Linked DNA regions of Xenopus tropicalis. The protein of the gene in region 1 purifies or fractionates together with the protein of each later gene. This does not show direct contact. Links are inferred from orthologs where the notes say so. Each region holds a gene or a part of one and is shown on either strand. Other genes may lie near its edges.

Region 1 (4,104 bases):
TGATTCCCTTTTCTCTGTAATAATAAAACAGTACCTGTACTTGATCCCAACTAAGATATAATTACCCCTTATTGGGGGCAGAACAGCCCTATTGGGTTTATTTAATGGTTAAATGATTCCCTTTTCTCTGTAATAATAAAACAGTACCTGTACTTGATCCCAACTAAGATATAATTACCCCTTATTGGGGCAGAACAGCCCTATTGGGTTTAATTAATGTTTTATTGATTTTTTAGTAGACTTAAGGTATGGAGATCCAAATTACAGAAAGACCCCTTATCCAGAATACCCTTGGTCCCGAGCATTCTGGATAACGGGTCCTATACCTGAATTTCTACTTTGTATTCCTTACCTTTCTATTCAGTCCCTCTCCTATGTATATTCCAGTTTCCCATTTAAACCACTGCCTGGTTGCTAAGCTACACAATACCCTAGCAACCAGATAGCTGCTGAAATTCCAAACTGGAGAGCTGATAAACAAAAAGTTAAATAACTGAAGAACCACAACAAACAACTGCAAATTGCCTCAAAATATTAGTGTCTACATTATACTAAAAGTTAATGTAAAGGTGAACAACCCCTTTAAGCACATTTACAACATTTTAGGACACGTCAGTTTATTTAAAAATTAGTTTTTATTGTAGATTTTTTTTTGGGCAGGGCTCTCTTCACCTCTTGTATCTGTTATTGATTGCTTTATATGTTACTCTGTATGTCCAATGTATGTAACCCACTTATTGTACAGCGCTGCGGGATATGTTGGCGCTTTATAAATAAATGTTAATAATAAACTACATTAAACAAGGCATTTCCCATTTTTCCTTCTCAGCCACCACACTAAGCAGGGGAAATCAAATAACATCAATTCAGAGAGACCAAATGCTATTTGTTGTGCCAAAGCCCGACCACCTAAAGCAGCTTTGCCGTGCATTCTCCCAAAGCCCCATCCGCTTTTCTCCATGAAGAGTGAATAGACATGGGGTGAGGGCAATATGTTGCAGTGCCAAGGAGAGGCCACAGGCCTTTATATACTTAAAATCAGATGTTCAGCCCTTAGGCTTATGGGACACTGGTCATATTCTCCCCCAGAATTCTCAGCCAGCAGATAAGCACCCAAACCTGCCTGAGGAGGCGGTCTTTAGTTTTAATGAAAATGGCCTGTCGGCATCAATGATAGGGATTTGAGCTGCAAAATGTGCAATTTCATGTTGCTTTTCATCAAAACAAATGGCAGGCTCCTGAGTGGGTGCTTTCCCACTAAGGTAAGGAGCACCAGGATGACGTTCCATGCATGTTCTGCTGGTAATGTTCTAGCAGAACCAAATCATTAGTTTATCACAATTTTAATATTCTAATTAATGGAAATATTAAGTGTGTAAATTCCCTAAATTGGCTGCCACAGAAAATGTGTAGTAGGCAAAGCAATGTAAAGGACAGAATAGAATCTGCCCAATATAGTCATTTAGTCATTGTTGTGCCCTTACCTGCAAGTACTTCTGTTCTGTGGAACAGGTTCTCTGTGTGTGTTGCAGTCTGGACGATATCCTTGTTTCCATAGACAAGAACTGTGTTGGTTGACTCTACTTCGCCAGGCTCCTGGACAGGAGGGGAAATATTTATACAATGGAAGTTCTCCTACATTCAGTATTATACAGACAAGTGCAAAAATACTTTTTTTTTTTAAACTTGCTCGTGTAATTTTTACTGCAGTTTGGTTACCCTATCGTTGCTTGAATGTCAGAATGATGTATTACAAAGTGAGCCTGAACAGAATGATAGGAATAAATCAAATGAGGCAAAAATAAAAAGTCTAATTTATTCTTTGGGAACTAGAGAACTTCATTGTATGCAGGTGGAGGGCTGAACAGTAACATTAAACATGAGAAAGGGTGACAGATAAATGGCTGAATAGGAAGAAGGTGACCAACCAACTGTACAGCATTAGCCAATTAACCCTATGAATAGTTGTACAAGCTTGGGGGAGGGTGATAGATCTAAAAAGTCAAATAATGCACCCAAAAACCACCAAATGTCCCACTATACAGTGGAAACCAACTAAATAAAACATTGCTGGATTAAATTTGCTAAACTGTGAAGCATATGTTACAGGTAATGAAAATGGCAACACCAAAATGGCGACAGACAATCAGAATATGGCCGCTACCCTGAATTATTAGCAGCCAAAATGAATCCTATCAATCAGAGCCCCAAAGCTGGTGGTAAGCTCTGCCTGCACATAGAGGGAAAGGGGAGCAGATGGAGGTCACTATAGCACAAAAGGGCTCCCCTAGTCTGTGAGACTATGGGGTGTGTTTACTAAGAATGGAGATAAATATCACCAGGGATGTTGCCTGTAGCAACCAATTAGGTCTTTGCTTTGATTTCTAACTTGTAGGTAACTGTTCAAATCTTATTGCTGATTGGTTGCTATGGGCAACATCACTGAAGATATTTATCTCCAATCTTAGTATACATGCCCCTAAGTACCGGTTCTATACGGATAAAGGAAAGTTTACATGTGCAGAGTTACAGCAATTAAAGTGCAATCCTATTCTACTGGAATGGTACCTGTTTGAACCTCCAAACCAACTAAATAAATACCTTGATCTACAGCAGCAAAAGTCAAGAACACAAAGCAGCGGTAGATGCCCACTAGCAAGTTCTACATAATGTGCTTCGTCTATACTGGGCACAACAATAAAGTACATTGGTGTGTGGGACCTGAGCCAGCTTGAGCTGTAAGGCAATAAAAGTCTATATTTGGTCCGTAACTTTATACATATGCAATGGCATCACTCCTACCTTGCTTTCAGGCGCAATTTTTGTTTGTGTTTTCAATGTTGTGGTGTCAACATATGGCATTTCACTTGATGGGCTGCTTATTAGCGTCTCGACAGTTGTTAACACCACATTGTCTTCATCATCATCGCGTGCTGGAATGCCTGTGGAATAAAGGGGACCTATAAGAAAGCTGTTTGTACATGATCCACTCACTCATACGCAGGAAGTTCATTAGGAAGGAATGAGAGGTTAATAATAAACTGATTTTGCTCTTTTATAATCTTTAATTCTTCCTGTCTATCTCTCTCTCCAAGAGTCATGTTAAACCTGGGGCCCTCACATCCCAATGGCTGGAAGACAGTACAGCACAAACAGCATAAAACCTAGCATTACAGTTATGGGCAAGTTTCCTTACTTTATAAAGTGTCTAAAAACCACAATTTTTTTTTCATTGTTCCTTACACTGAATGTAGACATTCTTTTCCACTGTAAATCTCCAATCTGTTCTGAATTTTACTTTTAATAATGGCGTCAAGTAATGCATGTAAAAGACTTGGGTTTAAATATCCAGCAATGTGAACATATAATAAAATCGATATATTGGGTGCGACAGGGGTGATAAATCCTTTTAAGAAACAACTGTATGCTAAATGGGTACAGCTGAATGGTATTGTGCTTCTGTAGGGATTACTGGCCCTTTATAAATTGGGAAATTCAAGCCAAGAAGCAATGAGTAAAAACCCTTCTCTAGTTTTTAAACTTAAGAAAAGATTTACTAAAAGATAAAAAAAAAAACACTGAATTTTATAGATCTTAAATTTCATGAAGTACAAACAGCTGTCAACTATAATGCAGGTTCTGTAAGAAAGCGTGCATCTTCCTCAGATATTTTTTTAGATACCTTAAGGCTTAGATAATAGTCACAAACGTTTTGCACAGTGAAATCCATTGTAAAAGGATTTTAATGGTAATTGTACTGCATTATGATGGACAGTTCTAAACTACAGGCCTCCACACCCTGGTTGTCAGTCAAAGCTAAATTGATTTTGGTGGGGGAACCACCGGTTCTCAGTGTCTGCCTTCTGGGAAGGAATTAATATAAAGTGAAGCTGCAGTTCCTCTGTAGGCTGTATAACCCTAGCAGGTAGAACTGCAGCTTACTCTGGAACATGCTATATGAAAGTAAAAGACAAGATACTATAACTTGGGCAGGTTTATGGCTTTGGGGTATAGTATAAAACATGTTGGGAGGTGCGTTAACATACTGGGGATAGTTATTAATTCTTGCAGGACCCCTTGAGTCTTAAAGGAACACTGCCATGG
Region 2 (5,158 bases), on another chromosome or scaffold:
TACATATTCTGTATTCAAAAGGTATCACTATGCTCACCGTCAAGTTTCAGTCCTTTTTCTTTTTCTGTGAAGCAAGGGATCCACATTTCCCTTACTTCTGCAAAGGTTCGCTCTTTCCGATGGAATGACCATTCTCAGCCGAGACAGAAGGCCAACTAATAGAGGATTTCATGACTCTTGATTTCCTCCATGTCATTTGTTTGAACTATGTATAGGGAAACCTAGTATCCAGAAATCTCTAAATTACAGGAATGCCATTTCCCATAGACTCCATTATAAGCAAATCAATTGAATTTATTCTCTCTCATAATAAAACAGAGGCAACTTTGCCTAATTTGTACACCAAAATATACTCCCGTTTTTGTTATGAGCTCATTCAGTTATATTTCCATGTATATTCATAATTAAGGGTGACTAATCATGACTATGATTAGAATTAAATATATTCCCTTATGTAACTACAGTTTGGTTAATTGCCCCATGGTCCCATCAGCCAAAATGCTTGTTAGGAGAACCCCACACAGAAAGGGATGCTTCTGTTGATTAAGTGCAAGTGATTGTGCCCTTGTGGCTAACTGTACAGTTAAACCTAGGTTTGCTGTATGTTTGCCAATTCTGTGATAATAAATGGCAGTTAAAGTAATATTCATATAATAACATTCAATTTCAAACTGCAGTTCCAGATCTTGCCTTTTGAATACAATTTTGAACTGCAGTTCTAGATCTTTACTTTCAAAAAACGTTTCGAACTGCAGTTCCAGATCTTTTTTTTTTTAAATCCAATTGGGTTTGTTTGATGTAAGTTAAATTTCAAGTTGGGTTATATATGTTATGTCATATAGTGAGCCATATTACATTAGTTGTAGTCTTTTCCTTAAATTTCTGCATCAGTGTTTTTAGATGTTCAGATGTTTCATTTGTTTTTGTAGTGTTAATTTTACTTTTCTAATGATTTTAGGTTGTCTTAGCCAAAGAGTTAACAACAGGAAGAGAATATGCCGGTAAGTATTTTTCACCCTACTGCCGCCAATCAGTAATGCTACCCAGCAGTGCAGTTGCTAATTGGCACTCCAAGAATATAATGGTTCTTACTACTTCCTCTATATATCTGTGTTTTTGTTTTTTTTATGGGCAAAAATGACACTTTTTGCCATAATTTTGTATATTTGAAAAAAATTATTTATATTGCATGCCTACTGGGAACACAAGAGTAAATATATAGCGCAGGACACCAGTAAAAACTTGTATTGCCAGTGCACTAGTGCTCACAAGGTGCAGAAATATAAAGTGCAAATAGTGCTTTCATACTTGCCTTGAACATTAATCTTTTGCATCGTGCAGTGAGATTACCTACACCTCACAATGGAGTAAATAGCAACCAGTAATTACAATTGCAGGAGGTCATGCAGTGCGTATCAGCTCATCAAGGCTCTTATATTTAAAGATTCCACATACAAAAGGAGGGGAACAAATAGGTAATAAGGTAAAATTCTTTATTGTACCATGAATGGCAGGAACTTGGGGGTTTCCTACTCAGTGCAGATTAATGTCAAAGTACAGCTGTGCATCACATTTCCTATAATCCATTCTCTGGATCAGAGCACAATTTGCACTTTATAGTTTGCATGCTGTGGGCACTAGTGAACTGCTGATTCAAGCTTTTAATATTCCCCCCCATGTAGGTGTATGCTCTGGCTTTTTTTTTTGCCTGTCTTGGAAAGAAGAGAAGGTGAAGCAGAAGCTGGCTGAAATATGAGGCTAATACTGGTTCTTGGCTGTCAATAAACACAGGATGAGAATCAGCCCCTAAGCTAGCATAATTCTTACCCTCTGCCTACACTCAGAGCCATTGAGTCAGCCCAGGTGCAAACACATAGGACAAATTTTGGTGCCAAATTGCATGCTTGTGTGTTTCAGTGCTGGAATGTAAATCGCTGGTGGGATGGCATATGCCACGACGCGATTTCCTGAAATCGCAGATGTTTCCTCTCAAGGCAACTTCCGCGATTTCGTTAAATCGTGTCGCCGCATATGCCATCCCACCGGCGATTTACATTCAAGCCGGTGGGATGGCATATCTGGGAGATTAGTCGCCCGCAACAAGTGAGATTTGTCGCGGGTGACTAATTTCCCCGTGTGCCTGAGCCCTTAATGTGACATAAATTTATCACTTAATAGACTCAAAGATATAGAGCCACTGAGTACAGATCACAGGAGTGATTCAATTTTTGTAGGTAACAATAACAAATTATGTTAGTACTGTGGGAACAGCCCTCCTGTGACTTCTGCTGTAAAACTTTGCAGCCGGCCTAGATGCATTGACATACCCAAAGAGAAACCGCAGTTCATGTGTAATCTATTCATTTAATTTCGGGACACTTTATTTACGAAATAGCCTTCGCGTTACATGTTTGTTCTGCATTGAGTTTATTTGATATCTTTAGAAACCCTATTAAACCATTGTCTTTATGTTTCAGTTAAAATTTTACAGAAGCGGCATATAATGAAGGAGAACAAGGTACAATATGTGAACAGGGAAAAAGATGTTATGTCCCGTTTGGACCACCCATTCTTCGTCAAACTTTATTTCACATTTCAAGATCCTGAAAAGCTCTGTATCCTTTGTTCAAACAATCTAGCACTGATGTGGAACCAATGTACATATATTGCCAGGTTTTCAGACAGTAGGCATTCAGTGTTCACTTTGTGGCCATTGAATGGGGCCATTTAAAAAGCTACAATAAGCATGGGTTTTGTAAAAGGGGTGATTCACTTTCAGGTTAAGAATAGCGTGTTCTTAACAACTTTTTGACTTATTGTTTTTGTCTTCCTCTTCTGACTCTTTCTAGTTTTCAAATATTGTTCACTGGCCACAGTAGCCACATAACTAATGCTCTGTGAGGCTACAATTTTATTATTGTTAATGTTTATTATCTACTTTTCTATTTAGGTCCTACTCTATTCATATTCCTGTCTCTATTCTTAACCACTGCCTGGTTGCTAGGTTAAATTGAACCCTAGCAGCCAGATTGCTGCCGAAATTCCAAACTGGAGGGCTGCTTAACAAAAAACTTAATTCAAAAACCGCTTAAAAAATTAAAACCAGAGCATCACTCTCCACATCATACTAAAAGTTAATTTAAATGTGAACAACCCCTTTTAATACCTTATCATTTACATGTTGTTAAAATTAAAAGACCTTGCAAGAACTACCGTGACGATGACAATTTAAATAGAAACTTAGATAAGCAGAAAGTTGAGTGGATCAGGGGTGAAATAGTCATTGCATATATCTGTTCTTCCTTAACCAAGTGAACAGATTTTGGTCTTAGTTATGCTAAGAACGGAGAACTACTAAAGTACATACGAAAGATTGGCTCATTTGATGAAACCTGCACAAGATTTTATACTGCTGAAATTGTGTGTGCTTTAGAATATCTGCACGAGAATGGAATTATTCACAGGTAAATGGCTAACGTGGAATTAAGAGCCAAAATTATTTCCCGGGTTTAGGTGAATGTGTTACTAGAACATATTGCAACAACTGTGCCTCTAAGCTCAGCTTCTCAACAGCTGAGCTTCTAAAAGAACCCAAGATGGTGAGCTGCTGTGATAGCTTTGAAGGCCTGGATCATTACTTTACTTACCTTTAAACTGGTGGATTAAACTTGGTATATATTAGAGTATTCAAAAGGTTATATGTGGGGTTTAATCATCCGGTAGGGATATACTGGGGTTGGCATCTAGCCAGGGTTTCCATATTTTCTCAAATTTTCCGGGTGTACCCCAAGCTTTGTATGTCAATTTGGTCGGTGGCAACATACCATTTATTAGCTCAACCCATTGTTGAAGTGTGGCAGATGTGGCACTATTCATAGCAGAGACAATTCCCCTTGTTTTTTCTCATGACCCTTAAGCAAAGAAAATGAGGGCACCTATAAAATCTGAAGTTATTCTAACATAATGACAGTATTTTATAATTCCATAAACTGAATAAGTGGTGATAGGGATTACAATTGAAGAACACAAGGGTAAAATACAGGTCAGCTGCAAAGACATTAAAAATGATGTAAAATTAAATGAGTAGTTAATCTGCTTTATCTTTTTGTTGTCCTCTTAAAATTAATTAACAGGCCACGGTATTTTGCTTCTGATTTGCATTTAAAGGAGAACTATATCCCCGGCCGCAAAAAGCCTCCTTAACTATCATTGACTAGACCCCCCTCACCTCTCCCTTATCGCATAGTTTTTACATTTACACAGTTTATCCCTTTCGCTAAGCGCTAGCTAAAAATGCAGAGAAGCGAAGCTGCTTACCTCGCCGACATCATCTTATCGACTGAAGACTCTTCAAGTCTCTCCGCTGATACGAACCTGCTTGTGCATGCACAGTTGGAGGTAGCAGGAAATCCACTTCAACTGCGCAAGCAGGTTAGGTGTGCGCTTCGAGACCCGAAGGTCTTCAGTTGCTAAGAAGATGTCAGCCAGGTACGCGGCTGCGCTTCTCTGCATTTTTGGTTAGCGATAGGGATAGAGTGTAAACATAAAAACTATGCGATAAGAGAGAGGTGAGGGGGGTTTAGGAAATGATAAGTTAAGGGGGTTTTTGCACCCGGGGGGTATAGTTCTCCTTTAATAACCTATGATTATTTTTTGATGATGCCGGTCCATATCCCCTGGGCTGACCATTAAACTCCCGCCTTTCTGCTAGAGCAGGCATCCCCAACCTTTTTTTTACTCGTGGGCCACACACAAATGTAAAAAGAGTTGATGAGCCGCACAAACATGAAAGAAATTGTTTGGGGATCACTATGCTAGAGAAACACAAGTATACATTTAACTTTAAAGGACCAGTAACTCCATGAATGAAAATCATGAATGTGTCTTTGCATACTGTTATCTTTTAAATAAAATTCCTAGGTTTTTTTTCCTGTTTGCTATTAGGCCTTATGGGTTCATTAATCTTTGATCTGATGTACTTAATCACTGCTGTGTTCAGTGAAGCATTAGATAAAAGTAGCCTTTCCCAACTGATATCTGATTGGAGCTTTGTTAGGTTTAAACCCAGAGAGACTGGAAAATATTGTTTGTCTATTACAGCCATTTGACTACAGTCCTTCTGATGGGTCTGACAAGACCTCCCCCCTATATGATGTTG
Region 3 (5,158 bases), on another chromosome or scaffold:
AGGGGTGTACTTTACATACTTCCACTGCATGGAGAAATTCAGAGCATAGCATTCTTTTGTAAATCTACCAGAATATGTTATACAAAAGGGGTGGGCAAACTACGGCCCGCTGGTCTTTTTAATGTGGCCCACGCTGTGCGCATGTGTAGCAGGCAGTGGTGTGTGCATATGCCTGTGCATCATTCAAACTGCAGAGACAGAAGTGCTGGCGCGTTGCGCTGTTTGCAGAGTTGAAGTGGAGAAAACCTGAGCACTGAGCAGGAGAAAGGAACCTGGCTTCTGGCACAGGATGGACAGATTTGGGGGAAATTCCTGGCTGCTGCTGGCAAAGGTACATATGATTTGAGAGCAAAATATGATTGATTTTTTGGCTGCTACTGCCTGCTGGCATATATATACAGATTGGGGGCAAATTGAGCAAATGAGGGATTGGCTGCTGCTGCCTGCTGGAGGGGATGGCCCGTCTGTCAAATTTTAAAAGTTAATGTTCACCAGGAGCCAAAAAGTTTGCCCACCCCTGTCATACAAGGATCCAAGTATGTAAGACTGTACAGCGCTGCGTACCCTTGTGGCGCTTTATAAATAAAGTTATACATACATACATACAGTACATGTAGCTGCATAGCTGGCACATTTGAAGGGATGAATTGGTCAACATATTATATCAAGTTTGACCTTTTTTTATTACTGTGTGATGCTGAAGACACCTCATGGTATCACTACTATTATTGCCTAAGATAATTTTTGCGTTGATAGAAAAATCATTAGTTTGAAGGACTGGTAAATTATACGATCATTTACAGCATGTGGACACAATCTGCTTGTGTACGGCAACCTTCAGTCTATTGAGTATGCACAGAGCAGCCCAGGGCACCACAAGATATTCAAAAAATCTAAATAATAGAGCCAGAAATGTTATTTTAGCTTGCACAGCCTTATTAAGTATCTCAAAATGGATTCAATGTGCTTACCTGCGCATGTGATTGAGAACAGTCATATTGGCATACATGTAATACAAGTAATAGGAATATGGAGGGTTGTCCTCTCCTGTCCAGTTCTCAGGCAGTGGACTATCCATATTAAACATGTGATGTTCTGACTTGGATTCATCATCAACGCTGTCAAATCCATCCACCTAATTGAGACAAGCAAAGTTTCTGCTCATTCTACTATGTATATAGAATATATATGTATATTAAATAATATGCTGCATCCTGTCTTATGCACGTGCATGGAATTCAAGCTACATAGACGCATTTTCAATAGGCCCATGTATGCAAAGTATGATTCTGAATATCATGCTAATTTATTATTTTGACATAAGAAGAGGCTATTAATCTATACTTTCCCTTAGTAGTGTAAGTAGAATTTACAGAGACCCAAAACAATAACATTTCTGGGCTTACCAGATATTAGCAAGATGACTTGTGTCACAAACATATAGAAATTGTGCCCAATGTCCCCCTAAACTACTATATCTTCCATTAGTCACAGGGTCAGCTTTCCTAATGTTAGACCATTGTTTTTCTTCCCAGTGGCCTTCTAAGAATACTAAAATTGTTAATGGTACAAATGCCATTATCGCCTTTACTACAACATTTGCAAGCAGCTCTTTCGAAGTTGACTATACCCAAATTCAACCTTTTAGTCTAATGAAACCTGCTTAGCTGTAAGTTGATCCAGAAGAAAGCAAAAACCCATCTGAATGTTTTCTATTTTGCCTCTGAGGGCAAAAATATTTCCTCCTGACCCCAATATGGAAACCAAACCAGTCCCTGGATCTAACCCACAATTTTAGAGCACTCCCTGTAAAAAAACCCTTATTCAAATATTATGACAGAGCCTCCTTTTTTTCAAATCTCATTGGATTCCCTCAAGTCTGTGTGAGGGACATACTGGTAAATAAAACAAGACACTGTTTATTGTATAGTCTCTTTATACATCTGTATAAACAAAACATATCCAGCCTTTCTTCATAATGGAAACATTCCATACCCTTGATCAGTTTAGTATGACATAAATTCCTTTAGGGTGCCACATGTAGCATTAAGGAGCCCCAAAAATGCATACACATTTCTAGCCAACTATCGCAAAGATGTCAACTAAACCCATGGGATGATCTAGTCCAGGGGGGTCTAGAGGCATGTCTTGTTTCTAGATAAATATAATGCCAAAAATGACCTACTGACATAAGAAAGAATCAATATGATTATGTAGTTAAACAGCATTCAAATATATGTACAAAAACATAAGGTGGCTGCTGCAGTCATTATACTGCCTTGACAGAAGATGGCTTCTTGGGCCAGTTGGAGGGTACTCACATGTTCCAGGAAGAGGTGAAGCTCTGGATGACTTGCTGGGTTCACAGTGACTTCAAAAAGTGGCAGGAAAATATTCTCCAGCATCTCCTGAAAGTGAGAAATCTGCTTCTTACTGCGGTATACATCACTGCAAAGCAAAACATATGAGGATAGACAATAGAAATCAAACTGAGAGAAAACCAGGCAGGTTTTATACTGATACATCCAAACCCATCATAGCAATTTAAGGTAAGCATTTTGTTATATGTTGAGTTCTTTTAACACCCAAATGAGAAAAACCCTAATAATTTATATTCTGATAAATTTTCTAACTACATGCAGTGAACATAAGGACATTAAATTATAGGGAAACCTGTCTTGTGACACACAAGAAAAGATGAATTCAGGAAGCATCATAAAACAAGTTAATGACAGCACCAACAGAAAAAGAATGTTAGTTATGGAAAATGTTATATGTATTTTCACTAATGCAGAGTTTAAATGACTCTATAAAAGCATTTGATTCATATAGATAGTTTAATTCTGTCTTTTGGGAGTAGCACCTTACTGCTATGATGATAAGATGATCAGCATATGCAGGAAATGTATTTCTTTTTACTATAAAATTTTTCACTTAGCCTAAAAATTTGCAAATCTTTAAAAAGATTCGCAAAACAGCAAAAAATTTTTGAAACAGTGAAAATGTCCAGCAACAAATTTTTTTTTTTTCTCATATGGCAAATGTTTCCGATGCAAATTTTGCTGTCTGTTTCGTAAAAAAATTCACCAATGCCAAAATGCAAAAATATGCCATAAATCCATGCCTGCCAAATAATTTCGCCCATCACTAGTTCAAAGTTATAGTTTAGCAACACATGTAAGTAGAACAAACTCTGTGGGAAAGCGCAAAATTTGAAGATGGTGCAGAATTTGAAGATATTATGGGGCCGATTCACTAAAGTGCGATAAAACGTGCGCTATATATAGCGTGCGTTAAAAATTTTATTGCGTCTTAATTTTCGCGACTTTTCGCACGATTCACTATTAGCACACTTGTGCTATTTTACGCGCGATACTTCATGCAATATTTTTGTCGCGATAGATAACGTGCGCGGTATTTTTCGCATGCATGCTATTTATCGCAAGCGCTAATTGTCGTGACATTACTCACGCGACAATCGGCAGCATAAAACTGGGGACATTTTGCCCTGGGAGAGCACAGAGTGCTAGAGAGGTGCTGTATAAATGTTTATTTGCAAATAAAAAACCAAAAAACCAATAAAAAGCTAAGTAAGAAAAAAAAAGAAGTGCTAGAGATAATAAAATGGGGGGGGGCATTTAAGAATATTTAGCCACACTCGCCAGAAAATACGCTACGTACTAATTAACGCAAGCTTTACTATTCAGCAAAATGGGCTAAAGACAGAATTGTAGGCAGAATATTTGCAAAAATTTAACCCATATAGCATATTGATGCTGTTACTGATAAATGTAAGAGTGTAGGAGAAACTACATGAAAGTATAGAATACCATATCAAGGAAGGAAAAATAATTAGACATTACCCAGTTCAAAAGTAGAAAAATAAAAACTTTTATTTTAACAATTAAAGGGAAAAAACTGGGAAAGAAAACTTAGGGCTTGCTGCCCTTGAGTTCTGTAATGTCCCTGCGCATTTCTGCCATTTCCCCCCGGAGCTGGGCCAGCTCGGCCTTGATGTTAACCAGGTCCTCCTGCATTGACCGCCGTGATGGTCCCTCGTTTGCAGGAGAACCTGGTGCCCAGCGCTTGGCCTGGGGGGAGTCCGGGGCCTGGGGGGAAACTGGGGGAGGAATGAAGGGGGGGAGTGTCCGGGGCCTCGTGGGCCTCTTCGGCCTCAGGGGCCGCTTGTGCTGGGGCCTCTGGGGCCACTTGTGCTGGGGCCTCTGGGGCCGCTGCTGGTGGGGCCTCGGGGGCCGCTGGAGCCTGGTGGGCCTCGGGGGCCACAGGAGCCTGGTGTGCCTGGGGTTGTGCCTGGGGATGAGGCGCCAGCTGAAGTTCTGTGAGATAGTATTGCAAGATGTTATTTTGTGTAATATATTATACATATATATATACATTCATACACCATCATAAATAACGGGGCCCCCTCACAACAATACAAAGGACACACAGACATTGTTAGCCAGGGCCCCCTAAAACATTCATGGCCCTTCCCCAAATGACTCATACTATGGGCCCCTCCCTGCTGCTTCCCCCCTGCTTTAAACTTATTTATGCATATGTATTTGAAAATAGATGTGTATATATATATATATATATATATATATATACAATACGAAGTGCTGGGAAGCTGAACACCATGAGGAACAATAACACCTGGGTGCCTGTGGCAAAACAAAATCTAGACAGGCATGGGGTGACGGCACACACAGGATTTTCACAAGGAGTCACGAAGATGTGAAATAATATTCAGAGGTTTATTGTGACCAACGTTTCAGTTCCTCACTGGCATTATTATGTTACTATGTTACTTTCGTCATCCCTGACATTTATTACATTTGTTCTTTTAGTTCAAATTACTTGCTAAATCTTTTCCTGAACGTATTCTGTAAAAGCATAATAAAGTACAATAATTACCTTCCGCAATTTCAGCGATCAGATCTGAATTCCTGCGCTTCAGGTCAGACCATATGCGCTGGAGCAGGCGGAGGTCCACATCAATTCCAAAGCCCCTGCGCAACCCGGCTTGGAGGTCGCGCAGGATGGCCCTCTTCAGCTCGTGGACCCCTAAGGGCCCCAGCGGCGGGTCTTCATATCCTGAGCGTAGGAAAAAGCTGACAATATAGCGCCTCTCCCCTGGTAGCAGATCAGAATGATC

Evidence for each region.
Region 2: the proteins of sdc2 (region 1) and pdpk1 purify together in Homo sapiens (affinity purification with mass spectrometry; 4 studies listed by BioGRID and IntAct, counting the BioPlex papers as one, with this or other methods). This does not show direct contact. The link is inferred for Xenopus tropicalis from reciprocal best matches to the Homo sapiens genes SDC2 and PDPK1.
Region 3: the proteins of sdc2 (region 1) and ampd2 purify together in Homo sapiens (co-immunoprecipitation; 3 studies listed by BioGRID and IntAct, counting the BioPlex papers as one, with this or other methods). This does not show direct contact. The link is inferred for Xenopus tropicalis from reciprocal best matches to the Homo sapiens genes SDC2 and AMPD2.

What each region holds. Positions count from the first base shown.
Region 1 is NC_030682.2:129,877,251-129,881,354, forward strand, and holds part of sdc2 (syndecan-2 precursor), read right to left. Parts: intron 2,943-4,104; coding exon 2,803-2,942; intron 1,597-2,802; coding exon 1,485-1,596; intron 1-1,484. UniProt on the Homo sapiens protein: Cell surface proteoglycan which regulates dendritic arbor morphogenesis.
Region 2 is NC_030685.2:28,864,229-28,869,386, reverse strand, and holds part of pdpk1 (3-phosphoinositide-dependent protein kinase 1), read left to right. Parts: intron 1-958; coding exon 959-1,001; intron 1,002-2,477; coding exon 2,478-2,615; intron 2,616-3,319; coding exon 3,320-3,464; intron 3,465-5,158. UniProt on the Homo sapiens protein: Serine/threonine kinase which acts as a master kinase, phosphorylating and activating a subgroup of the AGC family of protein kinases.
Region 3 is NC_030678.2:71,725,709-71,730,866, reverse strand, and holds part of ampd2 (AMP deaminase 2), read right to left. Parts: intron 2,449-5,158; coding exon 2,322-2,448; intron 1,136-2,321; coding exon 972-1,135; intron 1-971. UniProt on the Homo sapiens protein: AMP deaminase plays a critical role in energy metabolism. Catalyzes the deamination of AMP to IMP and plays an important role in the purine nucleotide cycle.